2 linked regions of the Callithrix jacchus genome follow. The protein of the gene in region 1 interacts with the protein of each later gene in a biochemical or structural test. Links are inferred from orthologs where the notes say so. Each region holds a gene or a part of one and is shown on either strand. Other genes may lie near its edges.

The links.
Region 2: of the proteins of TOP2A (region 1) and PIAS4, one has a biochemical effect on the other in vitro, tested with the Homo sapiens proteins (2 studies listed by BioGRID). The link is inferred for Callithrix jacchus from reciprocal best matches to the Homo sapiens genes TOP2A and PIAS4.

Annotation. Positions count from the first base shown.
Region 1 is NC_133506.1:92,846,989-92,861,832, forward strand, and holds the start of TOP2A (DNA topoisomerase 2-alpha), read left to right. Parts: upstream 1-4,068; 5' UTR 4,069-4,196; coding exon 4,197-4,217; intron 4,218-4,460; exon of another isoform or gene 4,461-4,880; intron 4,881-5,128; coding exon 5,129-5,284; intron 5,285-5,481; coding exon 5,482-5,572; intron 5,573-6,229; coding exon 6,230-6,293; intron 6,294-8,076; coding exon 8,077-8,222; intron 8,223-8,410; coding exon 8,411-8,508; intron 8,509-8,720; coding exon 8,721-8,933; intron 8,934-10,220; coding exon 10,221-10,394; intron 10,395-10,592; coding exon 10,593-10,694; intron 10,695-10,801; coding exon 10,802-10,939; intron 10,940-12,308; coding exon 12,309-12,447; intron 12,448-13,131; coding exon 13,132-13,289; intron 13,290-13,592; exon of another isoform or gene 13,593-13,951; intron 13,952-14,141; coding exon 14,142-14,267; intron 14,268-14,844. UniProt on the Homo sapiens protein: Key decatenating enzyme that alters DNA topology by binding to two double-stranded DNA molecules, generating a double-stranded break in one of the strands, passing the intact strand through the broken strand, and religating the broken strand.
Region 2 is NC_133523.1:3,754,644-3,770,126, reverse strand, and holds the start of PIAS4 (E3 SUMO-protein ligase PIAS4), read right to left. Parts: upstream 6,680-15,483; 5' UTR 6,655-6,679; coding exon 6,628-6,654; intron 4,271-6,627; exon of another isoform or gene 3,981-4,270; intron 2,058-3,980; coding exon 1,634-2,057; intron 1-1,633.

The sequences.
Region 1 (14,844 bases):
AGGCTGGTCTTGAACTCCTGACCTGGTGATCCACCCACCTTGGCCTCTCAAAGTGCTGGGATTACAGGCATACGCCACCTCCCCCGGCCGATGGGAGATATTTAGAAACAGATATGAAATCAAAGATTCCAGTCTAAACTCCTCCTCTCCATGCATTTATTCATTTGTTCATTCTTCAGAGGAAGGAATGAGGTAGTAGCTATCAAGCTTGACCAAGTCTCAGGGCCCACATCTACCCAACAGGCTTGCTCCTAGCAGCAGCCAAGAGCCCTCTGAGGGCAATGGACCGGAGGATGGGTTTCTGCAGTTCCTCAAGTCAGACCCCTGGGTTCTGAGTCCGAAGTCAAAGGTGGGGGTCAGCCACCTGGAATGCTGATCCCCTGCCCCTACTCCCACCCTGACCCCCACTAATGAAAGGGAGTTTCATTAGGCTCTTTCAGGCCACACTGACGTGTACCCCTCAGTACCCAGCTCCTACCCAGACAAACAAGTAAACAGGCATAGGATAGCGGAGGGAGAGAAGGCGGAGAGCCTGAAAAAGTGAAATAGTCAGGGAAACAGGTGGATGCCGGGTAGAGGCACACAGCACTCCACCCCGTCCTACTCCTCTCTTCCTGGGCCCCACCCTAATGCCTCCAGAGGATGTTACGTGGAATGTTAGAGCTAGGGAGACAGTGACAGGTTCAGGTGACCCCATTCCCCACCATATTAGAGGCATTACTGGCTTTCTCACCCCATCCCCCAGGTCAGCTTGCTGCCCCATTGCCGTCATCTATGGCTCTAGGCCTTGGTTTTCCCATCTGTAAAATGGGGAGGTGGGACTTAGTGATCTAAAAGCCAGCCCAAGGGTGGGCGTGGTGGCTCAAGCCTGTAATCCCAACACTTTGGGAGACTGAACTGGGAGGACCACTTAAGCCCAAAAGTTTGAGACCAGCCTGGGAAACATAGCAAGACGTCTTCCCTACAAAAAAAAAAAATTTTTTTTTTAATTAGCCAAGCTTGGTGGCACAAGCCTGTAGTCCCAGCTTCTCAGGAGGCTGAGGCAGGAAGATCGCTGGAGCCCAGGAGTTTGAGGCTGCAATGAGCCATGAGCATGCCACTACACTCCAGCCTGGGCAACAGAGCTGAGACTAAACAGAGGTGTCTCAGAGAAAAAGAAAGAAAAAAGGAAGTCTTCTCTTCCCTCTACCTCCTTACAATTCCTTCCAGATATTCTCAATGCGTGTATATATGTAATTTTATTTACCCAAATAGAATTATGCTCCACACAGTATTTCCTTCACTTTTTTTTTTTTTTTTTTTTTTGAGATGAAGTCTCACTCTGTGGCCCAGGCTGGAGTTCAGTGGCATGATCTCAGCTCACTGCAACCCCTGCCTCCCAGGTTCAAGCAATTCTCCTGCCTCAGCCTCCCGAGTAGCTGGGATTACAGGCATGCACCACCACGCCCAGCCCAAATTTTTGTATTTTTTAGTAGAGATGGGGTTTCACCATATTGGACAGGCTGGTCTCAAACTCCTGACTTCATGATCCACCCACCTTGGCCTTCCAAAGTGCTGGGATTACAGGCATGAGCCACCGTGCCCGGCCAGGGTGTGAACATTTTTAAATTTCTGATGGATAGAGAACTTCTGTGCAGATTTAGGGATTACTAATCTCTCATCCTGAGCTTCTCCCCTCTGTAACCTCGCTTGCTCTCCTCCCAACTTTGTCCACATTTATTTGCCAGGGGCCACCCAGAGGCTGGGCTCTATGGAACATTTTGGGTTTTCCTGGCCTCCTCTAACTAAAGGCTGGTATCCCTGGTAAAAAAATAAATAAATAAACTGACCAGAACCTGCCAGTTGTCAGCCTCAAGGTAAACAGAGCTTCTTGGCCTAGCCCTAACCACCTGAGTACTCTGGCGTTGGCCCAGCCTCATCCAGAAATTCCCAGTGGGCTCCAGCCTAGCCAGCTCCAAACCCCAAATCCAAAGCCACACTTTTAGTCCAGCCTCCTTCTGCTGGGAGAGCCTGCAAAAGAGAAGAAATGCTGCTTTTTCTAGGGGAGCTTCCAGATCCATGAAGGGGACACAGTACATCCAGGATCCTCTCTCCCCTCTCCAAAGAGCAGAAAGAAGGGAAGCACACAACACCCAGGAGAAAACAACCAAAGAATACTTATCAAAGGAACTCATCCGCATATGCAAATATACACTGAACGACTTGAGGAGGTTCAATTTAAAAGACTGTCAGAGAAGACTCCCTAGAGAGGAGAATTTTGAACTGCTTTTGGAGAAGGAATTTGTGGGACGAGCATGGAAGGAAGATCCTGGAAAGGAGCAGAGGTAGTCATTGCTGACATGTCTCGAGCACTTATTACTTGCCAGGCAATGAATGCACTAAAAAAAATTTATTTTTGTTTATTTATTTATTTTAGCTGGAGTTTCGCTCTTGTTGCCCAAGCTGGAGTACAATAGTGCAATGTCGGCTCACTGCAACCTCTGCCTCCCAGGTTCAAGCGATTCTCCTGTTTCAGCTTCCCAAGTAGCTGAGATTACAGGCACGCACCACCACATCCGGCTAAATTTTTTGTATTTTTAGTAGAAACGAGGTTTCACCATGTTAGCCAGGCTGGTCTTAAACTCCTGATCTCAGGTGATCTGCCTGCCTCGGCAACCCAAAGTACTGGGATTACAGACCTGAGCCACAGCGCCCGTCAGAAGTTCGAGACCAGCCTGGCCAACATGGTGGAACCCCCACTCTACTAACAATACAAAAAAATTAGCCTGAGGTGGTGGCACTCTCCTATAAATCCAGCTACTCTGGAGGCTGAGGCAGGGGAATCACTTGAACCCGGGAGGTGAATTTTGCAGCGAGCCGACATCGCGCCATTGCACTCCAGCCTGGGTGACAGAGTGAGACTCCATCTCAAAACAAACAAACCTTCAGTCTTAGGCATTTCCTTGTCAAATCGGAACAGCTGTTCTAAACCGCAGCGTTCTTGGAGGTGTGCAAAAGTAACCAGTCAGAGGGCATCTGGCCAGCTGGCTGCCGAAAAGGTTTCAGCCCCAGACAGCCCGAGCCCACCCTCAGCTCAATAGGCCATAACCACAAGTTATTCCTTTAAATTTGCCAGTTGCAGTCCAGAGCTGCTCTACTGGGAACCTGAATGCTGCCCTCCATTCTGCATCCTTCCATTATATGGGAACCCCAAACCACAACTATAGCACTTTTACTTCTTTAAATTATTTTTATTCTATTTTTATTTATGTATTTATCTCTCGAGACGGTTTCAGTCTGTCACTCAGGCTGGAGTGCAGTGGAGCAATCACGATTCGCTGCAGCTCGATCTCTGGGGCTCAAGCGATCCGCCCTCCTCAGCCTCCAGAACTGCGGTTAGCGGCTATTTTTTTTTTTTCTTTTTGGGTAGAGATGGGGTTTTGCTATGTTGCCCAGGCTGGTCTCCAACTCCAAGGCTCCAGTGATCCACCCACCTCGGCCTCCCAAAGTGCTGGCATTACAGGCATGAGCCACAGCGCCTTTATTTCTTTGAGAGGAGAGGGGGCGGGGTTCAGGCACACGCCAGAACCTGTTCGCTTCAACCAAGCAGCCAGGCGGCCTGTCTGTAAAGCCGGCACTGAGTTTCCTCAGGAAAACGAAACTAAGGCTCCCATTCCCCTCCCTAGCAATCTTAGAACAGAGAACAGTTTTTAGATTTCAGAAATCTTAAATAGACTGTCAGCTCCTGGAGAATAAATACGCTTTGCTTTTCACCTGGACACTTTTGCCTCAGGAAACCCCTTCCCGCTTCCAAGGCCCGGCTCGCCGAGATTTCCACCAGAGAAAACAAACAAACCCTCATTATTAGCCAGATTCCCTGTCAGTCTCTCCGCTACGACGCCGAGTGGTGCATTTTGAAATCTCTCTCTAGTCCCGCCTCCCTTACTTGATTGGTTTATTCGAACAAACACCTGACCAACTCAGCCGTTGATAGGTGGATATAAAAGACCAGCTACGATTGGTGGTTCTAGACAGAGACTGCGAGATCGAGTCAGGGATTGGCTTGTCTGCTTTGGGCGGGCTAAAGGAAGGTTCGAGTGAGCTCTCCTAACCGACGGGCAGCGGTCTGAGGAGAGGCGGCTTGGTCTGAGGTCGTTTCGTGGGTCCTGCCGGTTTAGTCGCTTTCAGGGGTCTCGAGCCCCTTCACGACCGTCATCATGGAAGTGTCACCTTTGCAGGTACGGCTCGTGGGAGGGACTGGCGGTGGTGTGCCTCAGCTCGGCCCGGGCATCTCTCTGGCCGCCCGTGACGGTTGAAGCTCTGGGGCTGCTGTCCGGCCGGCGACCCGCTTGGGAGCCCATATTCTCCACCTCCCGGTTCCGGGGTGATCGTGGAGAGGCGGAAGCCCTTTACGGTGCTAGCAGTGAAGTGTGTCGGCTAAACCGGCTTCCAGGGTGCGTTGCTTTGTTGCCTGTGTCTAGGGGCCGCATTCCGGTGTCCCGCAGTGGATCCGTGCTACAGCGCCCCGGGCGCGATGTTACTGAGTCGCGTGTACCGATGCCTTCCCCTCCTGCCCGCTGCTTGAAAACGGCCTTGAATGTCTCCGATCTTGGAAAGGGCAGAGCCTAGCACAGTGTTCCCCAGAGCAGCTGGCCGGCCTCCAAAAGCGCCCCTATCCTGAGCTCAGAACCTTCGTGTGGCCGAGGGATTGAACTGATAGCCGCCCAAGCTGCTGCTGCCGAGCTAGACTCTGCCGTGTGCTTGGGACACCGTAAATAGTTTATAATAATAGGCACTCGGTAAATAATGCGTGCAGGAGCTGAAAGAGGTGGGTGTATTTTTTCGGTGACATCTACCACATTGCTCAAGAGAAGAGGTTTTCAGACAGACCGACCCACTTGGTGAGATAACATGTGTGTTTAACCTGACACCTGGGGACTTGGCTGCAGCTAATTTAAATTGTCCTCTTTGTACTAAACTGTCAACTCCACCGCTACCTACTAATAGATTCCAACATGTGTTGACATTTCGTTCCTGGTTTTAGGCAGACTTACGATTAAAAATCCCCTTCTCTCTCTCTCTCTCTCTCTCTCTCTCTCTCTCTCTCTCTCTCTCTCTCTCTCTCTCTCTCTCTCTTTTTAATTGCTAGCCCGTAAATGAAAATATGCAAGTCAACAAAATAAAGAAAAATGAAGATGCTAAGAAAAGACTGTCTATTGAGAGAATCTATCAAAAGAAAACACAGTTGGAGCATATTTTGCTCCGCCCGGACACTTACATTGGCTCTGTGGAATTAGTGACCCAGGTAAAATCAAGCTTATCAAAGGCAATCACCGAGCAGTTGAAATGGATACTCTCCCAGCTGACCTTTCTGTACTTCTCATGTACTGAGTGTCACCGGAACTGGCCTCAGTATGGTAATAGTTAATACAGAAGACTTTACGGTAATCATGACAATAAATATAGAGTAAAAATAACAGTATTTCTTTGCCTTATTTCTAGCAAATGTGGGTTTACGATGAAGATATTGGCATTAACTATAGGGAAGTCACTTTTGTTCCTGGTTTGTACAAAATCTTTGATGAGATTCTAGGTGAGTAAATCCTTTAATATAAAGATCTGTTAGTCAAATCTTTCCTAAGAAGTATCATTTCAAATAAAAATCAAAAAAAGGCCAGGCCACGGTGGCTCATGCCTGTAATCCCAGCACTTTGGGAGGCCGAGGTGGGCAGATCACGAGGTCAGGAGTTCAAGACAAGACTGGTAAACATAGTGAAACCCAGTCTCTACTAAAAAATACAAAAATTAGCTAGGCATGGTGGCTCCGGCCTGTAATCCCAGCTACTTGGGAGGCTGAGGTAGGAGAATTGCTTGAACCGGACCTGGGAGCCAAGATTGCGCCACTGCACTCCAGCCTGGGCTACAAAGTGAGACTCCATCTCAAAAAAAAAAAAAAAATCAAAAAAAGATAAAAGTTTAAAAAAAAAAAAAAATATATATATGATTTCTACCAAGCCTGCTGTAGCCAGGGCTCCTGTCATTTCAATTAGTTAACAAAGGTGAGATGGTTTCCTGGAGCCCAGGAAGTTGAGCTTTCTCCTGGAAACAGTACTATGAACAAAAATTACTAAATTAACAGCTTATTAATGCCACTCTTGTACTGTTGGGAACTTTTTTTCTATATCTTAGAGTTATAGAATGTTTTTTAAAACACTAATTTCTTGCTAATGTGTATTTTATTTTCTTACAGTTAATGCTGCGGACAACAAACAAAGGGACCCAAAAATGTCTTGTATTAGAGTCACAGTCGATCCGTACGTCTTTTGATTAGCTTTTGTTTGTTATGTAGCTCATTGTTATTTTAGTTGCATGTATTTTGATTACTGGTGAAGTTGTCTTTTTTTAAACAGAAGTTCACAAAAGTACACACAAGCAGAATGCTAAAATGAAAAACCTATGGATACCCACCACTTAGATCCAACAGTTGTCAACATTTTTCTACATTTTGTCCATGTTTTTAATTAGTTTATTTATTTAGTTAGTTTGTTTGTTTACTTTTGTTTTACTTTTTTCTTAATTTTTTTTTTAGAGGGTCTCCCTTTGTTGCCTGGCCTCAAGCAATCCTCCAGTGTTGGCATTATGGGTGTGTGCCATGGCAGCTGGGCTATTTTCTCGGATCATTTCAAAATAAATTACAGGCATTATGACACCTAATCCCTAAATATTTGAGCAAGCATCTTCAGTAGTTGCTTTAAGTATTCTGGCATCTGGAGTTTTTTTTCTCATGATGCTATTCAAACAGTAAACCAGTAGGTGGTGGTAGATAATAATTTGATCTAACATTTCTGGGTGTCCCTTTATGAGCAATCAGGGTGCTTATTTTGCTTTTTTGTTGTTGTTGATGTTAGTCTGATTAATTATGACAAAGTATACGTGGATTTTCCTAAGAACTCAATGTCATAGTCTTTAAAAACCGTTGAGCTAGTTTTAATTAGTTTTTTATAGATAATAAGTACTTTCTGGAATAAGAACCATAATGTATATCTAGTTATAACTAAAATATATTACCATCCAAGAATTAACTTAAAATAACTGAAATAAATAAGTCCAAACAAGTTTTCAGCATTTTATTTCAGAGCAAGGCAGTTTATGATTGATACTGTTTTTCTATTTTATGTTTGTTTTGCAATGTACTTTGTCGAGTGGGAACAAGAGATGTATAGATGATCCTCTTAAAAGGGGTATAATAGGCATGGTAGCTCAGTCATAATCCCAGCACCTTGGAAGACCAAGGATCAGTCTAGCCCAGGAGTCGTTTGAGAACAGCCTGGGCAACATAGTGAGACCCTCATATCTACAAAAAATTTAAAAATTAGCCAAGTGTGGTGGTGCATGCAGCTATTTGGGAGGCTAAAATGAGAGGATTGCTTGAGCCCAGGAGATCAAGGCTGCAGTAAGCTGTGATCCTGTCATTGCACTCCAGTGAGTGACAGAGCAAGATGCTGTCTCAAAAACGGAGTAGGAGTGGTATATAATAATGTTTCCAGATTGTCCTTTTCTTTCCCTTGGGCATAAATCATTTCCTTTTGTTTATCCTAACATTTTAAAATTTTATATTTTTTCAACATTATCAGTGTCTACACAGGTGTTGGAAAAATTTTTTTTTCCTCTTGACTCCTATTTCAGGAATGTCAGGAACTAAGCATGGTGGGAAATGTAGTTCATGCTGAATTTCAGAAGGTATATATGAAAAGAGTCAAAGAAATTGAGGGTTGGGTGTGGTGGCTCACATCTATAATCCCAATGATTTGAGCAATTCTCCTGCATTAGCCTCCCTAGTAGCTGGAATTAGGTGCACATGACTGGCTAATTTTTGTGTTTTTAGTAGAGACAGAGTTATACCATGTTGGCCAGAATTTCTGGCCTCAAGTGATCCACCTTCCTCAGCCTCCCAAAGTGCTGGGATTACAGGCGTAAGCCACTACTGCGCCCAGCCTGAATATACATATTTTAGAAATAATTGTATTTAAATATTTTTAAATGTTGAGCATTCATTTAATGTGTTGTACAATACAATTTTCAATCTTGTTTTCTTAGGGAAAACAATTTAATTAGTATATGGAATAATGGAAAAGGTATTCCTGTTGTTGAACATAAAGTTGAAAAGATGTATGTCCCAGCTCTCATATTTGGACAGCTCCTAACTTCTAGTAACTATGATGATGATGAAAAAAAAGTGACAGGTAGAGTATTGAGGGGAAATAACATATTTGTTGCTAAAAATATATATATTTTAAGTAACTATCTGTGGCATGAGGGTTAAAAATATGGAAATAAATCTCTATAATTGAATACCTCTGCCAGTGATTAGGAAATAAAGCTGTCAATGAGATAATAACAATAAAATAGTGTTTCATATTTATTTGCCCAGGTGGTCGAAATGGCTATGGAGCCAAATTGTGTAACATATTCAGTACCAAATTTACTGTGGAAACAGCCTGTAGAGAATACAAGAAAATGTTCAAACAGGCAAGTAAATAGGTGTCTTTTACCTTAATGATAAATGGTAGTACTATAGCCATTTATAATGGCATTAATGGCTGGTTTAATTTAACATAATTTATAAGCATGGAAAATTATTCATAGGCATATATTAGGTTATTAGGACTCATAAATTTATGTTATTTACTAGTTGTGAGATGACTTGAATTTTTCATCTTTCCTATTCTTTACTTCCATAGACATGGATGGATAATATGGGGAGAGCTGGTGAGATGGAACTCAAGCCCTTTAGTGGAGAAGATTATACATGTATCACCTTTCAGCCTGATTTGTCTAAGTTTAAAATGAAAAGCCTAGACAAAGATATTGTTGCACTAATGGTCAGAAGAGCATATGATATTGCTGGATCCACCAAAGATGTCAAAGTCTTTCTTAATGGAAATAAACTGCCAGTGAGTATTTTCCTGGATATTAAGGATAATAAGGGACTTTGTAATCATTGTCAAGTACAAAGTTGATTTTCGCCCCCCCCATATATTTTGTATGTGTGTGTGTGTGGTGTGTGTGTGACGGAGTCTCGCAATGTTGCTTAGGCTGGAATGCAGTGGTGCAATCTCGGCTCACTTCAACCTCTGCCTCCCAGATCCAAGCGATTCTCCTGCCTTAGCCTCCCCAGTAGCTGGGATTACAGGCACCCACCACCATACCTGGCTAATTTTTGTATTTTTAGTAGAGACGGGGTTTCACCATGTTGGCCAGGCTGGTTTTGAACTCCTGACCTCAGGTGATTGAACCATCTCAGCCTCCCAAAGTGCTGGGATTACAGGCATGAGCCACTGTGCCTGGCCCATCCCGTATATATTTTTTACCACTTCTCACATATGTTTCTGAAAAGAGAATGTTACTCCACATTTTCTTTTTCTTCTTTTCGACGGAGTCTTGCTCTGTCACCCAGGCTGGAGTGCAGTGGCTCGACCTCGAATGGCTGCAACCTCCACCTCCCAGGTTTAAGCAACTCTCTTGCCTCAGCCTCTCGAGAAGCTGGAATTACACGCACCCACCACCTTGCCTGGCTAATTTTTGTATTTTTAGTAGAGATGGGGTTTCACCATGTTGGCCAGACTGGTTTCGAACTCCTGACCTCAGGTGATCTACCCTCCTCATCCTCCCAAAATGCTGGGGTTACAGGGATGAGCTACCTCACCCAGCCGGTATGCCACGTTTTTTAATCAGCTCATTTTAAATTTACTGAAGGAATTTCTTTCTCAAAGAAACACCTAAAATGCTTTCATGTCCTTTATTTATTTATTTTACCTTTTTTTTTTCTTTTCTTGATAGTCTCTTGCTCTATCACCCAGGCAGGAATACAGCGATGCAATCACAGCTCACTACAGCCTCCACCTCCCAGGCTCAAGCAATCATCCACTTCAGCTTCTGGAGTAGCTGGAAATACAGGCAGCACCACCATGCCCAGTTAATTTTTTTATTTTTTTAATAGAGATGGGGATCTCACTGTGTTGCCCAGGCTGGTCTTGAACTCCTGGGCTCAAGTGAGCCACCCACCTTGGCCTGTCTTTCTTTAATGATCATTCTCTTAAGCCTGTCAGTGAACATCATTCATTGCATTGGTTTTGAAAAGTCCTCATAGTCTGTCATTCAACCTATTTTTTAAATCTAATGCTATCTCCGGATATTTTTAATAGCTTTTTTAATACTATTATCCTTTAATTCTTATACAGGTAAAAGGATTTCGTAGTTATGTGGACATGTATTTGAAGGACAAGTTGGATGAAACTGGTAACCCACTGAAAGTAATACATGAACAAGTAAACCACAGGTGGGAAGTATGTTTAACAATGAGTGAAAAAGGCTTTCAGCAAATTAGCTTTGTCAACAGCATTGCTACTTCCAAGGTAATTTTATTCTTGAATTATTAATCATGATTTATGTTTACATATAGGTGTTCTTACTGTTTTTAATATATAAAGTGGACTTGAATATTGGGCTAGCTTGGTATAAAGGAGGCTAAATTCGTTTTATTTTTTTTTGATGTTTGATTATTAAAATTTTGAGGATACTGAGTTTTACAGTTTGGTGTTTTTCCTTATTAGGGTGGCAGACATGTTGATTATGTAGCTGATCAGATTGTGACTAAACTTGTTGATGTGGTAAAGAAGAAGAACAAGGGTGGTGTTGCAGTAAAAGCACATCAGGTATGTGCTTTTGGCAGTTTTCTTTTTCTAAAGTCAAGGGAGAAAAAAAAGGCTATGAATAAAGCATGAATACATTTTTAGTAACTTAATATCAACTTCTATTGCAGGTGAAAAATCACATGTGGATATTTGTAAATGCCTTAATTGAAAACCCAACCTTTGACTCTCAGACAAAAGAAAACATGACTTTACAACCCAAGAGCTTTGGATCAACATGCCATTTAAGTGAAAAATTTATCAAAGCTGTGAGTACTTAGAGGGAAATAAAAATAAAAGCACCTGACTTTATTTTCCATTGTGCTTCTCAACTCTGCAGAAACAAAGAGTCTTCCCACAGTGCACTTCTCTGAGTCTTCCAGTCTGAAAAGGAAGTAAACAATGGTTTTTTTAATCTGATTTTACTAAGGACTTAATTACTGTCTATATTTCAGTATTTCCCAATTACATATCACCGTTAAGCTTAGATCACTTTTGAATTAATCTAGCTGCTAAACACCCTCACTTTAAATGCCTGAGATTTGCCCTCAGTCAACACATCCAAAACTGAATTCATTAACTCCATAGTCACTGACTTGCCAGTACAGGCAGCTCCCCACCCTCCAATAAAGAAACAACTTCCTATCTTAGTAGAAAGCCCCAACCAACCTCTAGGTGTATAAACAAGAAAACTGGGAGCCTTCTCTTTATCCAGTCAATAACAATCATCTCTGAGGCTGCAGTAGCTTCTCACCATTATCTCTTTTTTGGTTTACTATAATAGGTTCTTAACCTTCCTACTGGTTAAGTCCTTTTCTTGCAATGCTTTTGAATGACCTTTTTGTGTTCAATAAAGCACACATTTCTGTCTTCACTCTTAATTTGAAATCTTTCAATGACTCACTCAGGAAAAGTCCAAATTCCATAATTTGGCCAACAAGAAAGATCTGCTTTAATCTAATTACATTTACTTCTCCAACTCATCTAAGTGCCACTTTTTCCTATATTGTCCTGTTGCTTTTTAAATTTCTGAAAAGCATAGTGCTCTTCCCCTCCCTAGAGTTTATTCACATGCTAATCCCTCTGCCTGAAATACATCCTTTTCACCTAGCTGACTACTTTAGATCTTGTCCATTCCTCAGGAAAGCCTTTACTTTTTACCCTTTTCCCAGCTAAATTGGTCCCAAAATGATATTGATCATACTTTATTGTCATGTAGCAAACTTTTTGTTACCCATAACACTTACACTGTAACTTATTTTATTTCTTTTTTTTAGGCAGAGTCTCGCTCTGTCACCCAGGCTGGAATGCAGTGGCAGTGATCTCAGCTGACTGCAACCTCCACCTCCTGGGTTCAGGTGATTCTCCTGCCTCAGCCTCCCGAGTAGCTGAGATTACAGGCACGCACCACCATGCCCAGCTAATTTTTTGTATTTTTAGTAAAGATCGAGTTTCACCATGTTGGTCAGGCTGGTCTGAAACTCCTGACCTCGTGATCTGCCCGCCTTGGCCTCCTGAAGTGCTGGGATTACAGGTGATCCACATTGCACAGCTTATTTTTATTTTTATTAAGGTTCATTTGTATTCTACGTTTCTGATAGAACCCTTCTTCCCTAATATGAATCTTCTCATTTTCAGGCAATTGGCTGTGGTATTGTAGAAAGCATACTAAACTGGGTGAAGTTTAAGGCCCAAGTCCAGTTAAACAAGAAGTGTTCAGCTGTAAAACATAACAGAATCAAGGGAATTCCCAAACTTGATGATGCCAATGATGCAGGTATGTATTTAATAATACTTCCAAACTTTAAGTCTTAACAGTTGTTATTCGTTAACAGTATTATACCATGGATATTTATTTTTCCCTTGGCAGAATAACTATATTCAACAGAATAACTTTGTTAAAAATCAACCTGTGGCCGGGCGTGGTGGCTCACACCTATAATCCCAGCATTTTGGGAGGCCGAGGCAGGTGTATCACAAGGTCAAGAGATCAAGACCATCCTGGCCAACATGGTGAAACCCTGTCTCTACTAAAATACAAAAATTAGCTGGGCATGGTGGCATGGTCCTGAAGTCCCAGCTGCTAGGGAGGCTGAGGCAGGAGAATTGCTTGAACCCGGGAGGTAGAGGTTATAGTGATTCGAGATCGAGCCACTGCACTCCACCCTGGCACCTGGCAACAAAGTGAGACTCTGTCTAAAAAAAATAACAACCTGTTTCCTATTATGGAACATTTAGGCCATTTTTAATTTTAGCTTGTTATAAATAATATTGAGGTTATTATTTTGGAGTATAAAACAAGAATGTTTACATTATGATCTATTACCTAACAAATAAATTTACTTGTTATATATTGTAAATTATTTGTGTTTTATCACAAGGCTATAAACAGTATGTTCAAATTAGTATATTTGAGGTTGAACTAAATGTGCTAATATTAACTTGTGTATTTTTATTTTAGGGGGTCGAAACTCCACTGAGTGTACGCTTATCCTGACTGAGGGAGACTCAGCAAAAACTTTGGCTGTTTCAGGCCTTGGTGTGGTTGGGAGAGACAGATATGGGGTTTTCCCTCTTAGAGGAAAAATACTCAATGTTCGAGAAGCTTCTCATAAGCAGGTAGAATATAAAACTATCTAAATCTAGTTTATAATGGAAGACTTTATGCTTATATTTTCCCTCATTGGGCTTTTGAAAGATATTTTGTGACTCAAAATAATCACACAATTTGTGATTATTTTGAGACATTGGGTACATTGTAGCCTATCTTTTTTAACACCACATGCAGGTAGTGTTTTATTCTTTGAAGACTGCTATTGCACTATGTCAATCTGAAAGATAAAGTTCAAAATAGTTTTTAAAGGATGTTAAAACATATGTAATGACTGTCCACTGTACAAAATCTTGATCTTAGAACTTATGATACATCCAGTTGGCAGTAGCACCAAGGTTTTCCAAATAGCCAGTCATCATTTTTCTCTTGTATGCATAGACTTCTTCTGATTAGCTGCCTTCTGCTTTTGTTGCATGATCTCAGAATCCCTCTGCGTTCTCTGAGAGGTAGTCAAGCTATCCTCTTTTCTTTTTCCCTTGATAATTTCCTGGGTTTTCTTCATGTTTTTGTGACGGACAAGTTCTCGTTGATTTCCACATGCCATGCCACTCACCGACGAATCCTAGAAGAGTGACTTGGAAAAGCAACGACACCCTGGCAGGCTGGGCTGCTGTCACCACTGTCGACCAGGAAGACTGAGCCTGTGTGGGCCCTCCGCCCACCGGCACCTCCGCTTTGCTCCGTCAGTGGCTTTGTAGCCTATTTTAACAGACCTTTCTGACTTAGTATATAAGCTAATAATAGCTCAAAATACTGGAGCTCAAGAAAATCCAAGCAACATATACTATTATATTTCTTTGTTCTTTTCAAATGTATAAACAAGACGTTACTTTTTTTGGTATATATGTCCATTTCAGATTATGGAAAATGCTGAGATTAACAATATAATCAAGATTGTGGGTCTTCAGTACAAGAAAAACTATGAAGATGAAGATTCATTGAAGACTCTTCGTTATGGGAAGATAATGATTATGACAGATCAGGTCAGATTTGTTATCAAATTTTTAGATTGTTCAACTAAATTAACCATGTCTTAGTTACAATTTTGTTTTTGGCCATGAAATAAATTACTAGGCCAGGCACAGTGGCTCACACCTGTAATCCCAGCACTTCAGGAAGCTGAGGCTGGCAGATCACAGGGTCAGGAGTTCAAGACCACTCTGGCCAACAACCTTGAACCCCGTGTCTACTAAAAATACAAAAATTACCCAGGCATGGTGGCACATGCCTGTAATCCCAGCTACTCAGGAAGGTGAAGCAGGAGAATCCCTTGAAACCCAGGAGGTACAGGTTGCAGTGAGCCAACATGACACCACTGCACTCCAGCCTGAGCGACAGAGCAAGACTCCATCTCAAATAAATAAATAAATAAATAACTTAAACAGGAGCTTTATTCATTATTTCTAATCAACATCTAATCAGATATGCTTATATCATACGTATGTTAAAATACAGGTTAAATGAGTCTGGATTTGAGCAGACCTTTTTTAATTCCCATAGAAAATTTGACAAATTGCCAGGAAGTCAATTATAATTTTTTTTATTTCTGAACAGTTCTTT
Region 2 (15,483 bases), on another chromosome or scaffold:
AGGAAAGCCCAGCCTCCCTGCCACGCGGGTCCCTCTCAAGACCTGACCTTCAGAGACAGCCGGCTCTGCCCCAGAACCCAGCATGGAGAATGGCTTCCCTCACGAGGGAGCAAGGCACAGAAAGTCAGCCTGAAGGAACTCAGGCCAAGGCCTTGAGTCCCCCAGGACAGGTGCTGCTGGGCCAACCTGCTCTGTGGGAGGCTGTGCTAGATACCTCCCGCCAGGAGAAAGGTAGGGGCGGAGCCTCACTGGGAAGGCGGAGCCTCAGGCTGGAGGGCGGAGCCCCGGCTGCCCAGGAACCACTGGCAGTGCCTTTCTCCCTCCTCCACCTCCTCCATTGTCACCAGGAAGCTCAGCCCCTCCAGCCTAACCTCACAAAGTCCCAGGTCTGTAGGCGGGAGGGGAAAGGCAGCCAATACCCCCTCTCCCCACCCCATCAACCCCACCTCCCAAAGCAGGGGTGAGGGGGGCCAGCTGGCACCCAGTGGACTGAATAGTGCCAGAGAGGGGCCCCCAGGCCACAGCAGGGGCCAGGCAGTTCGCTGGGTCAGCAGGGTGGGAGGGGCGTGTACAGGGCTTCTGAACCTTGCAGCCTTGGTCCCGTTCCCTGCCACGTGCCCACGCCTGGTGCCCGTCATGCACCCACCCAGCAGGCACTCTGATGTTTACTGCATGAAGGAAAGAGTGGGGGCAGGGGAGGGGAGGCAGGAAGAAGAAGCAACGGAGAGGTCTCCAGGCACGGAGGGTCCCGGTTGTAAACCAGAGCTCCTCAGGGCGTAGGTTCTGCTCACTATCTGGGAGCCCCAGAGGCTGCACTCTCTCTGCCCTGGGGGCTGGGGCTGCTCAGGCCTCCCTGGCCCTGAGCTCAGGGCTATGGCTGAGGCAGACATTCCTGCAGCCTGGCAGTGGCCTGAGCCCGCTGACCAAGGCTATTCGTGCAGGCTGCAGGCAAGGAGCCACAGCCTGGGGAAAGGAGGGAAGGCTGATGCCCCTGTCCAGCACCCTTTCCATGGGGAATAAGCAGGGAAACCAGGCTCCCAAATGGCCCCGGCAATCACAGCCTGGTGTGGTCCCTGCCTGCGCCACAGTATCTGTGTGAGCAATGGACTCGGTGCGGGAGGCGGTGAGGCGTCTGAGGTTGGCTTATAAAAAGGGCTCCAGCTCCCAGCTTGGTGGGCAACACTCACTGGCCAGGGCGAGGCAGCCACAAGGCAGACAACACAGGGGGCTGCACGGTGAGGACCTGGGGACTGTGGCCAAAAGCCAGCGAGGAGCTGAGGCCTGCCAGACACCGCACAAGGATGTGGCTGCTACAGCCCCGGTCGAGCCTCCAGATGAGGTAGCTCCAGCCTGACTTGAGTCTTGTGAGAGCCCCGTGCCCCAACGTCCCACAGTGAACCTAACAGACAGCCACTGCTTCCGGCCACTCCACTGCGGGTAACGTGTAACACACCAAGGGGTGAACAATATCAAAGATGGTCCCTTTGCTTCCCGGGAAGAACACCCTTGCCACTGTGGCTCCCCGCCCTGGCTGCGCCACACAGGACCTCCCTGGAGGTCAGCCACGTCGCTGGGCTGGGCGGGCCTCGGCGAGACCTCTGGGCGCAGCCTACCCGGGGCGGCGGCCACTCACCTAACTCAGTGGGCTTCAGCAGCTCGTCCAGCATATTAAAGAAGGGCAGCTTCACCAGGCGGACTTCTGGCTTGAGGGTCTTGGTGGGCAACCGTCCCAGTCCATTTAAGTACTTCCCGTAGAGCACAGGGTAGTCAATATTGGGGCCCGCCAGCGGAGTCCTGGGCACGGCGCCGGCCCGGTCGTAGGTGGAGTGCATGGTCAGGGGGTCCAGGGGCCGGTGCGGCTGTGGCACAGACTCCGAGGTCTTCTTATAGCGGGTCTCGTACAGCTCCTTGATCTTCTTGAACAGCTCTGGGCTACAGTCAAACTGCACCAGCTGGAGGGCTCTGGTGACAAGCTCGTGCTTCAGTCCGCTCTTACTCCGGCCCACGAAACCCAGGAGCATCTGAAGGTCGGAGACTCGAAAACTCATCACCATGTTCTGAGGGAAAGCAAGCAGACAAACACTCTCAGAGGCCAGAGCTGCCGAGGCAGGGGGTGCCGTGGAGGCCAGGCCCCGACACGGGGGCCTGAGAAACACCCACTCGCCAGGAAGCACCAGCCTTGGCGGGGGCGGTGGTGTGCCCTGCCCCTACGGTGCCCCCCCCCAGCAGAGCCTCGCCCCTCCCTCCTCATCAAACTTTCCCCAGCACCGCCAACGCAGCAAAAGCACCTCTGACTAGGCCCCCCTTCTATTTTAGGTTCTCTTCCCCTGTCTTCGGCCTGAAAGTATCCCTGGGGCAGGAACTGGGAATCGTGCTTTAAACCCCCTCTGCCAGTGCCTAGCCAGCAAATGCCAAGTGCCTCTCTGACCCTCAGTCTCTTCATCGGGACGATAAGAACAGAAAGCACGGCTGGGCAGGCCTCGACCCCCGTCGGCCACAAACACACTTCCCTTGGGTCTCGCCGACGGCAGCCAGTTTACTTAGCACTAATCACCTGCCGGGAACCGAGCCGGTCATGTGATTACATATTTAACTCTGACCCTTCTAACACCTCTGCTGGCTGGTGCAAGCTCTGTCACAAACGAGGAACTGCCGCCTTAGGGGCAGCAGTGACAAGATTCAGGCCCAGGCCTGGCTCTGACACCAGGGGCGGCTCCTGCTCCCACACTACCCTCCGGACGTCAACTCAGGGACCTCCGAAAGTCAACTCAGGGACCTCCAAAACATCTGCTCATCATCCCGTGTGGGGTTTCTCCCCTTCAGCCCTGTGGACGCTGGGGCCGTCCCGGGCACTGTAGGGTGCTAAGCACCTCCCAATTCATAACAACCAAATACATGTCCAGATGTTGCCCAGACTCCCCCTGGGGGTCTAGTCTGAGGGGAGGGCAGCAGCCACGGGGCTGTTGCGGGACGTGGTCCTCATCTCCCGGCAGGAGCCCTGCAGTGAAATCAAAAGCAACAGCAGAGCCCAGCTGACCCTAGGTTTTGACTGGGGGTAGCCTGGCTCTGGCCCCCCTCCATGAGGGGTAGGACTCTGAAGGGGAAGGAGGGCTCCTCAACAAGCCGCAGAAGCCAGGTGTCCTCGAGGGCCGGCTGGCAGGGTGTCGGGGCCACACACCCTCGGCCCGGAAGCTGGCCTGGGATGAATGAGACGTGGGAAGGAGAAACTTCCGGAAGGAATGGGAAAAAGCTGGTGCCGAGGGTGCTGAGGAAAGTTGACGGGCACCCGAGGAAATCACTCCCTCAAACTACTCTTGAAAGACCCTGAGGGGCGAAGCTAGAGGCAGCCTCACTGGGCAGTCTGCACCGCAGCCTCCGTGCCAGGAGGCACAGGGGTTTCCGGCTCCCGGCTACCCAAGGGTGAGGCCAGGAGCCCAGCAGCACATTTTAGCAGCAAGGCTGCAGCAGCCCCGGCCTAGTGGCGGAATCCTCATCTGCCAGCTGACATTTCTTCCAGCTGTACCGGCCCAGGGTCCTGCTGGAGACGGAGAGGCTGTCCAGGCTGAAAACGACAGGGACGCATGTGCAGGTGGCCCAGTCTTGCCCAAAGAGCCTGAGGAGAACCCTCTTCCCTATCAGGGATGCGTGACCCCGAGACTGTAAAGAATCAGGGACACAAGTGTCTGCTCCCTGCCAGGCACCAGCAGGGCCTTCCCGTGTCGCCAATTTCACAATGACCACACCCATCATGGAGGTGAGGAAACCGAGGCTCACAGAGGGAAGCAGCTGGCCCACAGCCTCCCTAGCACAAGCACGGAGGTGGCATCGGCCCCTGGGCCCCCAAGAGTGCTCCCGTCCGAGGCCCAGGGGACCCTCGCTCACCAGCACACTGGCTACGGGGACCTGCGTGGTCTGCTGGGCCTGAGTCAGCGAGGCTTTGCAAACAAAAATGCCTCATCCCTCTCGGCCTGACTTCCTACCTCATGCAGAAAACAAAAGGGCTTGCGGACAAGATGTTTCTTCTGGAAGCTGCCCAGGCCTTAGCAAGGAGAGGCGATGTCATGTGGACACTTCGCACTGGCAGCCCGGCCGAAGGCAGGTGGGCTTGGGAACCCGCTGACGTCCTGGCACCCCAGGAGCCCCTGCCCTGCCCAGGCTGGACAGTGGAGCTGCAGCTCCTGCTTTCCGGAGCACACCCCTTAGGCAGCCATATGTTCACGATTCAGATTTCCCGGCAGCTGCCACCTCGGAGGAGCCTGCCCTGGACACTGGAGGGGGGCAGGAGGACACGAATTCAGGAAGAAGCACCCAATGCCCCGAGATCACTTCCTGCCCTGGCTTCATCCTGACCCACCTGCCCTCAAAGCTGTGTTTATAAACAGCGCCAGGCCCAGGCCCTTCCGAGTTTCAACTCCAGGCTTGCCGGGAAGCCTCGTGGGGAGACAGCAGCCCAGAGACAGCAGCTGCGCTGAACCTTTCCTCCAGCACGGGGCCCTCGGAGCACCGGGGAAGCTCAGGAAGGCGCCCCTCTCCAGGAGAACAGAGATGTGTGTTGTGCTAAACGCTGTGGACTATTTCACGACACCCCTGCCCCAAAACCCGCCTCCAGACCCCAAGCAGAGGGTCTCAGATTTCAAAGTTCATTAACAAGCCCTCACCATTCAACCCTCCGAGCAGTCTGTGATGCACCCCAAAAGCAGAATCTGCAGCCATGAGTATGACAGGCTGGGGAAAGCCCCTGTAAAAAAGGGGATGTTTCGATGACCCTTAAGGCATTTGGAGGGATAGAAACGGACTCAAGGAGAAAGGCGGCCCCCCAAGGTCCCACCCCCTTGAATGGAGGCTCGCAATTTAGAGAGTCTGAAAGAAGGGGCAAACTTGATTTAACTGGGGGGCGGGGGTGGGTACCAGCCACCAAAGGGTCAAGGAAAAGTTCGTCAGATCGTATTTCAAGGCCTGGATGGTACGAAAGAGTGCAGACCCTGCCCTCAGCCAGGGTGGGGGTGGGGTCCAGGGTCACAGCTCCAAGTTGCGAGGTCTCCATGGAACTTCAAGCCCAGAGCCTGCCGCCTTGGGGTTACAGAGTTCAGGCCTCCACATCTCCAGGGTGTCTCCACTCTGCAAAACTCTAGGGAGCGGCAGAAGTGCGTGCGGAGTGAAGGCTTGGAAGGGTAAGAGGATTGGATGCTATCATCACAGAACCTTGAGGGCTGTGTTTTCAGATCCCAGCGGGTGATGAGGGAAGAAAATACGTACAGGTCAGGACCCCGGCGGGGAAGACCTAAAGTGGGGTGAGGGAGGGAGAGATCCCCTAACCTCCCTGGAAGCAGTGGCCTTGACGACACTTCTGAAGATTTTAGACGATCCTCAGCTCTAGGTAGCCACCTACAAGAAGGTACATCCCCAGGAACGGGGATACTCTGAGCTCCATCTCAGGACGATTAAAAGGTGTTCCAAGCTAGAAGGAGACGGCACCTACCGGACATGGGACCTGGACAGGGCCCAGACCGTGACAGAGAAGCAGCCGAAGTTATTCTAAAGAGGCCGGCCTCGGACCCAGTGGGGACCCTCCAAAGATCAAAATAAAGAGTATAAGCAGAAAGACAAGGAACCTCAGAAACCAAAGCTGGGGTGCAGACAGGTGCTGGGGGCTGTGCAGGGAGAAAGGGAGTCTGATCTTCGCAGCAGACTCGCTCAAGAGTAGGAAACAGAAGCGGCTAACTCTGGAGACAGTATCTGAGGCTGCACAGGTGAGGCTTAGAACCACGAGAAGCAAAACCAGTAACCTTAGATTCTGCCCCGCGGGGAACGACACAGGTCCAGGATGTCAGACTTGTTTTTAAAAAGGGGCGAGCAAGGAAGGTTTCTAACCAAGACAAGCGTTTGGGACTCCATCCCATGGCGAGGGTAAAGAGCCCAGCGTTCCCCCAGCGTCCACTCCGGTGTCTGAGAAACCGTGTCGGGAAGGGGGCGGGGTCCTGGGACCAATGCAGCAGCTGAAGACCGGCTCCAGCCCCCAAGAGGACGTGCTGTGTCTTGGGGTGGTCTCAGGGCCCTGATTTCTCCACCTGGACGGCGGTAGGACGCTATCCGGGACTGAGGGGACCCTTCGGAGCAGAGGACTCGCGAACCCCAGCCTGGCCTGTTGGGCGGGGACAAGACCCAGACACCAGTCCTGGGAGCCCTCCGGGCCGGTAAGCGCAGACACTCCTCCCGACACAAACCGGACAAATACCAGGGACTACGGCTCGGAAGCAAGAGGGCAACGAGAAGCTCAACCCATCCCGCAGCCCGGGGGCACGCTGCCTGAACCGGGAGGCGCGGCCCTGGCCCGGCGCTTGGGGACCCGGACCCTAAAGGCTCCGGCTGGGTGGGGGAACCCTGCCTGAAGCTGGGGGAGCGACCCCTGGCGCGAAGACCCGGGTGAGGCAGGAGGGCCCCGCCCCCGGCCTCCCCGCCCCCCCGCCCTCACCCTGAGCCCTGGGGTCGGGGTCTGGGGGCCGGGACGGCGAGCCGCGGGCGGACCGCGCTGTGGGGCCCCGGACGGAAGGCGCAGACCTGGACCCGCGGCCCGGCCCCCGCCCTTTCGCCCACTTGCCCCGGCCGGCGCCGCCGCCGCTCACTCACTTTGGCCTCCACCAGCTCCGCCGCCATCTTGGCCACCAGCGTCCCCCGCGCCGGGAGCCCCCAGCCGTCGCGTCACGTGACCTCCCACCACTCGCGGGCGGGGCCGCCGCCCGGGCCAATTAGCACCCGCGCGCGCTCCTCCCGCCGCCGGCGGGCGCTGCTGCGTCCTGCGCAGGCGCGCGCGGCCGCCGCCCGGGCCTAGGGCCAATCAGGTCCGCCCTACACCAGCCCCTCCCTCCTTCCCTCGTCTTCTCTAGCTCGCGGCGACCACGCCCACCCCTGGCGGCGTCTGACTCCTTAAAGGGGTACGAGCTCTGCACAGGTGGGGACGGGTGTGGGTCGCCTCGAAGGAGGGAAGGAGGGAGGGAAGGAAGGAAGGAGGGAGGGGGGCAGTGGCAGCGACCACAATGCGGCCAGGTGACGCGGCTTCTTCCGCCAGGTGCGTATCCAGACTCCCGGCGGCGTCAGGGAGGAGACGGTTGCTCCGCCGCAACGACCGCCAGTGCGTGCAGTGCGACGCCTTGCAGCGCACCGCGGTGCACGCTCCACGGGCCCCGACGCCCCGCGCGCTGCACATCCGGGTCCTGGCGTGCAGATGGGGCGTGGGCTCGGCACCCTGCTGGCTGGCGCTAGGCGGAGAAAAGCGGGACCGCGGCTCCCAAATGCCGCGGAGCTCGTGCAGCTCTCACCTCTTTGCAGGCGCCCTCTCCCATCCTGCTTCCCACCCTTGGGAAACCCTGGAATCCGCACCAGCTGCAGATTCCAAAGCGCTCCTTGGCTCCCTAGTGCCCGTAGAATTTAAGTTCAGACTTCAGTAATCAACTATTTTAGTGCAGTTTATTTTTTATTTTAGTTTTTGTAGAGACGGGATCTCATTATGTTGTCCAGGCTGATCTCGAACGTCTGGGTTTAAATGATCCTCCTGCCTGGGCCTCACAAAGTGCTGGGATCACAGGCGGGAGTCACCACACCTGGCGAGTCCAATACTTTTAATATTAAAAAAAAAAAAAAAAATCAGGCTGGGCGCGGTGGCTCAAGCCTGTAATCCCAGCACTGTGGGAGGCCGAGGCGGGTGGATCACGAGGTCGAGAGATCGAGACCAACCTGGTCAACATGGTGAAACCCCGTCTCTACTAAAAATGCAAAAAATTAGCCGGGCATGGTGGCGCGTGCCTGTAATCCCTGATACTCAGGAGGCTGAGGCGGGAGAATTGCCTGAACCCAGGAGGCGGAGGTTGCGGTGAGCCGAGATCGCGCCATTGCACTCCAGCCTGGGTAACAAGAGCAAAACTCCGTCTCAAAAAAAAAAGGCAAAAAAGTTCATGATGGATGAAATAATAAATTTTTTTCTTTTTTTGCAGAGACAGTTGTCACCATGTAGCTCTTGTCGCCCAGGCTGGAGTGCAATGGTGTCTTCTCAGCTTACTGCAACCTCTACCTCCCAGGTTCAAGCAATTCTTCTGCCTCAGCCTCCCGAGTAGTTGGGAGTACAGGTGCCCACCACCACGCCTAGCTAATTTTTGTATTTTTAGTACGGACGGGGTTTCGCCATGTTGGCCAGGCTGGTCTTGAACCCCTGACCTCAGGTGATCCGCCTGCCTCGGCCTCCCGAAGTGTTGGGATTACAGGCATGAGCCACCGTGGCATGGCCTCCTTTTTTTTTTTTTTTTGAGACAGAGTGACAAGATCTGTTGCCAGGCTGGAGTGCAGTGGACTCTGCCTCCTGGGTTCAAGCAGTTTCCCTGCCTCAGCCTCCCGAGTAGTTGGGAGTACAGGCATGCACCACCATGCCCGACTAATTTTTGTAGTTTTAGTAGAGATGGGTTTTCACCATGTTGGCCAGGCTGGTCTCAAGCGCCTGTTCTCAGGTGATCCACCCACCTCGGCCTCCTGTAGTGCTGGGTTTAGAGGCGTGAGCCACTGCGCCCTGAAATGTTAAATTCAGTGGTGCATGCGTGTGGTCCCGGCTACTCAGGACATGGGAGGATCTCTTGAGCCTGGGAGTTCGAGGCTGCAGTGAGCTGTGATTATGCCACTCCAGCCTCGGCAACGAAATTAAAGGAGACTGTAGTCTTGGACTAAGCTCTTGCGCTGAGCACCCACAGACCAGAAGAAACGAAAGGCAGCTGCTCATACTCAGGTTCTAAGCAACTTATGGTCACTGATGAGTTAACACATTCCTTGCCGCTGCTGTTTGGAAATAGGGTCTCTGTCTCCCAGGCTACTGACAATGGCCCACTGCAACCTCGACTGGCCCGGCTCAGGTGATCCTCCTCTGTCAGCCTCCCGAGTAGCTGGGACTACAGGTGCACACCACCATGCCTGGCTGATTTTGGGAATTTCTTTTTTTTGAGACGGAGTTTCGCTCTTGTTGCCCAGGCTGGAGTGAAATGGCGGGATCTCGGCTCACCGCACCTCGCCTCCCAAGTTCAAGCGATTCTCCTGCCTGAGTCTCCCAAGTAGGTGGGATTATAGGCATGCACCACTTCGCCCGGCTAATTTTGTAGTTTTAGTAGAGACAGGGTTTCTCCATGTTGGCCAAGCTAGTCTTGAACTCGTGACCTCGTGATCCGCCTGCCTTGGCCTCCCAATGCGCTGGGATTACAGCCACTCCACCCGGCCTAATTTTTGTGTTTTTTGCAGAGACGGGGCTTTGCCAAGTTGCCCAGGCTGCTCTTGAAGTCCTGAGCTCAAGCGATCCTCCCTAAGTGCTGGGATTATAGACATCAGCCACTGCGTCCAACCTATTCTTTGCTTTTACTCTCTTCAGCCTTTCTCTGTCTATAGAGCCACCCTCCTCTGCCCAACTGATTGGAACAATTACCCTATTTTATGGAATGAAGTATAGCAAATTGCAGTGAAGCCAATTAAGGTCCTTAAATTTATTGAAATTGTTCATTGACAACAGAATAGAGCTCTGCCATGGCACATGTGAGTCTCATCTCACCCTAATTCTGGCCCTGTCGATTCTGCTGGGGATAGGGTTTGGTTTTTGTTTTGAGACAGAGTCTTGGCCGGGTGGGGTGGCTCAAGCCTGTAATCCCAGCACTCTGGGAGGCCGAGGTGGGCGGATCACAAGGTCAAGAGATCGAGACCATCCTGGTCAACATGGTGAAACCCCGTCTCTACTAAAAATACAAAAAATTAGCTGGACGCGTGCCTGTAATCCCAGCTACTCGGGAGGCTGAGGCGGGAGAATTGCTTGAATCTGGGAGGCAGAGGTTGCAGTGAGCCGAGACTGGCGCCTGGCGACAGAGTATGACTCTGTCTCAAAAAAAAAAAAAAAAAAAAAAAGAGACAGAGTCTCGCTCTGTCACCAGGCTGGAGTGCAGTGGTGTGATCTTGGTGACTGCAACCTCTGCCTCCCAGGTTCAAGCAATTCTCCTGCCTCAGCCTCCTGAGTACCTGGGATTAAAGACGCACACCACCACACCCGGCTAATTTTTGGTATTTTTAGGAGAGATGGAATTTCACCATATTGGACAGGCTGGTCTCAAATTCCTGACCTTAAATGATCCGTTTGCCTCGGCCTCTCAAAGTGCTGGGAATACAAGTGTGAGCCAAAGTGCCTGGCCCGGTTTTTTAAATCATAAGTTGTGTGTGTTTCGGTGAAGTTTAAGATTCACAAGAAGTTGCAAAAGTAGTAGACGGTTCTGTGCACCTTTCTCCCAGCTTCCCCCAGTGATAACATTTTACACAACTGGCCAGACGCGGTGGCTCAGGCCTGTAATCCCAGCACTTTGGGTGGATCACCTGAGGTCAGGAGTTCAAGACCAGTCTGGCCAATATGGTGAAACCCCATCTCTAGTAAAAATACAAAATTTAGCAGGGCGTGTTGGTGCCTGTAATCCCAGCTATTTGGGAGGTCAGGGCAGGAGAATTGTTTGAACCTGGAGGGTGGAGGTTGCGGTGACCTGAGATCGTGCCATTGTACTCCAGCCTGAGCAACAGAGCAAGATTCCATCTCAAAAAAAAAAAAATTGCTGAGCCTGCCTGTAGAAACTGCCAGACCAAGGCGTTTCCATGTTAGCTGCTTCCCCATTGACCCCAGTTCTCTGATGATGAAAGCCAGGATCAGATGGGAACCGCCTGCTCAGGCCCTGGCCAAGCCACTTTTTTCTTCTTTTTTTATTAGAGTCCCACTCTGTCACCCAGGCTGGAGTGCAGAGGCATGATCTCTGCTCACTGTAATCTCCTGCCTCAGTCTCCTGAGTAGCTGGGATCACAGGTGCGTGCCAACACACCCAGCTAATTTTTGTATTTTTAATAGAGACAGGGTCTTGCCATGTTGGCCAGGGCAGTCTCGAACTCTTGACTTCAGGTGATGTACCTGCCTTGGCCTCCCAAAATGCTGGGATTACAGGCATGAGTTACCACACCTGGGCTTTTAAAAAAAAAAAAAATTGTTTATAGATTTGGGGGGTGGGGTGGGTGATACTATGCTGCTTAGGGTGGTCTCGAACTCTTGGCCTCAAGCCATCCTCCTACATTGGCCTCCCAGAGTGCTGAGATTACAGGTCTGAGTTGCCCTGCCCAACCTAAACCACTGTCTTCATCTGCATCCAACATGCCTTTGGAGACAGCTGGATGCAGATGAAGACAGTGGTTTAATAATGACCAGGCACAGTGGCTCATGCTCATAATCCCAGCCCTTTGGGAGGTCAAGCTGGTAGGATTGTGTGAGCCCAGGAGTTCGAGACCAGCCTGGGCAACACAGTGAGACCTGTCTCTGCAAAAAATAAAAAATCAGCTGGATGTGGTGGTGCACACCTGTAGTCCCAGTTACTCAGAAGGCTGAAGCAGGAGGATTGCTCAGGAGGTTGAGGCTGCAGTGAGCTGTGACTGTGGCACTGCACTCCAGCCTGGGCCGAAGAGACCTTGTCTCACAATTAAAATAAAACATGAAAAAGACGTGCAAGTAATGATCGCTCTGTGTTCTCCAGCGCCTACTGTATACAAGGCACGGTTTTGGTTCAGGGATTTGCAAACGTTTTCTGTAGAGAATCTGGCAGTATTTTCTAGTTTTTTGTTTTTTTGAGATGAAGTTTTGCTCTTTCAATCCTATTTTTGTTTTTGTTGTTTTTGTTGTTGTTTTGAGACGGAGTCTCACTTTGTCGCCAGGGTGGAGTGCAGTGGTGCTATCTCAGCTCACTGCAACCTCCGCCTCCTGGGTTCAAGTGATTCTTCTGCCTCAGCCTCCCAAGTAGCTGGGACTACCAGTGTGCACCACTACACCCGGGTAATTTTTTTTTTTTTTTTTGAGACAGAGTCTCACTCTGTAACCCAGGCTGGAGTGCCCTGGCACGATCTCAGCTCACTGTAACCTCTGCCTGCAGGTACAAGCAATTCTCCTGCTTCAGCCTTCCCAGTAGCTGGGACTACAGGCACCCACGACCATGCCCAGCTAATTTTTTTGTATTTTTAACAGAAACGGGGTTTCAGCATGTTGGCCAGGGTGATCTTGATCTCTTGGCTTCGTGATCCGCCCGCCTCGGCCTCCCAAAGTGCTGGGATCACAGGTGTGAGCCACTGTGCCCGGCCCTAATTCTTGTATTCTTAGTAGAGACAGGTTTCACCATGTTGGCCAGGATGGTCTCAATCTCTTGACCTCATGATCTCCCTGCCCGGGCCTCCAATCTTTTATTTTATTTATTTATTTATTTTTGTGGAGGGGGGGCCTCCAATCTTATGTATTTTCACATGTCATGGTATTATTATTATTACTACGCTTTTGTTTGAAGGTTTAAAAGATAAAAAAAGGCTGGGGACTATGAGTCATGCCTGTAACCCCAGCACTTTTGGAGAGCCGGGCGGAAGGATCGCGTGAACACAGGAGTTCTACACCAGACTGAGCAGCAGCAGCTCTGCCAAAAGTAAGACCTGAACCGCGCATGGTGGTGCACGCCTACAGTCCCACGTGCTCGGGAGGCTGAGGCAGGAGGATGGCCTGAGCCCGGGAGTTGGAGGCTGCAGTGAACTGTGATGGTGCCATTGCACTCCAGCCTGGGCGACAGAGCAAGACTGTCTCAAAAACAGTAATACAAGTGTCAAGTTAGATGAGGGCTGAAGGCTGTGGTTCGATACCCTGTTAGAGATGCTTGGACACAGCGCTGACAGCAGGCAAAATTCCCTGTTCTCGTGGAGTTGACGTTCCAGGAGATGAACGGCAAACACCATCAAAAGCTAATTACAGGGCCGGGCGCCGTGGCTCACACCTGTGATCCCAGCACTTTGGGAGGCCGAGGCGAGCAGATCACCCGAGGTCACGAGTTCGAGACCAGCCTGGCCAACATGGTGAAACCCCGTCTCTATCCAAAAATACAAAAATTAGCTGGGCGTTGTGGTGCATGCTTGTTAATCCCAGCTACTCAGGATGCTGAGGCAGGAGAATCGCTTGAACCCGGGAGGCGGAGTTTGCAATGAGCTGGGATCACGCCATTGTACTCCAGCCTGGGCGACAGAGGGAGTCTCCATTAAAAAAAAAAAAAAAGCTGAATACAGAACAAGTTCAGGCACTGCTAGGGGGTAGACAGCCAAGAAGGCAGAGAGGGAGGCTTTGGAAAATCCCCACACAACCAATTTAAAGCCTGTTTTAGGGCAGAATTTAGCAGATCTTAAATCAGATCCTTTGCGACAACCTTCACAAACCACCTCCACCGTTACGTAAGATGCACAGAGATAGATGGGGAGAGGCAGATACACAGACACAGTTATTCCCTTTGGCACTTAGATAAATGGAGTCGTTTCCTGGGTAAGCATACCTGTGAAACTGAGTTTGGTGTTAGCTGCATGTTAAAGCATCTCAGTTCTATGTGTTTGTGTATATACGTTTCAATACATAGCAATATATTGCCACAGTTGATTGCATTTCCTGGCTCTAAAAGATTGTAGGCTGGGCACCGTGGCTCACTCCTGGCATCCCAGAACTTGGGGAGGCGAGGCAGGAGGATCACCTGAGGTCAGGAGTTCTCGAGAAGACCGTGCGAAGTGGTGAAACCTCGTCTCCGCTAAAAATCCAAAAGACTGAGTACCGGCTCGGCCGGAGAGACCCCCACCCAAGCAACGGTGAAGGAACTGAGAGGCAAACACCCAGACAGAACAGCAAGGTGGGGGTATTGGAGGGCCAGCAACCTTCCGAATGGAGAGCCTCAGGAGCTGACAGCCTTCAGGGTCAGAAAGCCCCGAGTAGACACCGACCCCGGCATTTATTCTCCCTGATCAGGTGAGCCTCATTGACAAACAGGTGTTCAGTATTTTCTCCTAACAAAACACGCTAAGCAGGCAGCTGGTGCCCACTTACCGCGGATCACAGACAACCTAAAAAGTATTCCCCAGGAGGGAAGGGTCGGATATCTTAAAGAATTGTGGCTTTTGGGGGACAGGTGAGGGAAAGAAAAAAACAATCGTGGTTTTTGTTTGTTTTTGTTTTTTTGAGACAGAGTCTTGTTCTGTCGGGAGGCTGGACTGCAATGGCAGGATCTCAGCTTACTGTAACCTCCACCTCCCGGGTTCAAGCAATTCTGCCTCAGCCTCCCAAGTAGCTGGGATTACAGGCACGTGCCACCGCACCCAGCTAATTTTTGTATTTTCAGTAGAGATGGGGTTTCACCACGTTGGCCAGGCTGGTCTCGATCTCCTGACCTTGTGATCCACCCGCCTCAGCCTCCCAAAGTGCTGGGATTACAGGCGTGAGCCCCTGCGCCCGGCTGAAGAATTGTTTTAAACAGTGTATGATATTTATACATTGTCCTGCCCCTTTCGAACGCCCCAAGTAGTTTTCCACTTGGTGGGGGCGCTTAGGTTTTCCTTGCCATCGTTTTTCCTAGCAAACAATACATTCTATCATACACTCAGCATTCATCAATATTCATAAACTTAATATTTCTCAACAAAAATTAGCTGGGCATAGTGCTGTGCACCTGTAATTCCAGCTACTTGGGAGGCTGAGGCAGGAGAATTGCTTTAGCCTGGGAGGCAGAGGTTGCAGTGAGCCAAGATCATGTGTGCACTCCAGCCCCGTCAATAAATGAGACTCCCTCTAAAAAAACATGTAAGTAAATAAACCAAACAGATTGTAGAAACTAAATCTAATCTACTTAGGAGGTAGTTGGGTGCCAGGGCTCACAGCTGGAATCCCAGCACTTTGGGAGGCGGAGGAGGGAACATTGCTTGAGTTCAAGAGTTCAAGACCAGCCTAGGCAACATAGTCACACCCCATCTATACAAAAGTTTAAAAAGTACCGGAGCACAGTGGCGTGAACCTGTAGTCCCAGCTAATCAGTAGGCTGAAGTAGGATAACTGCTTGAGCTGGGAGGTTGAGGCAGCAGTGAGCTCTGATCACGCCAACGTTCTCCAGCCTGGGTAACAGCGAGATCCTGTCTAAACATAAATAAACAAGGAAGTAATTGAATTGGGAGTTAGGGAATGTGTTCTCGTTCCCACCACCCCACCCACAGGCCATGTTCTCAGGGACACAGAAGTCTCTCTCATAGACATAACCACTTACTTTTCTTTCTTTCTTTTTTTGAGACAGGGTCTCACTCTCTCAGGCTGGAGTGCAGGGGCACGATCTTGGCTCACTGCAACCTCCATCTCCCGGGCTCAAGCAATCCTCCCACCTCAGCCTCCTGAATTGCTGGTTTTCCGGGCACGAGCCACCATGCCTAGCTATTTTTTTTTTCATGTTTTGTGGAGATGGGGTTTCACCCTGTTGGCCAGGCCGGTCTCATGCTCTTTTTTGTTTTTTTTGGAGATGGAGTTGTGCTCTTGTTGTCACCCCACCTGGCCTCTTAATTTAAAAAAAGAAGGCTGGGTGCAGTGGCTCATACCTGTAATCCCAGCACTTTGAGAGGCTG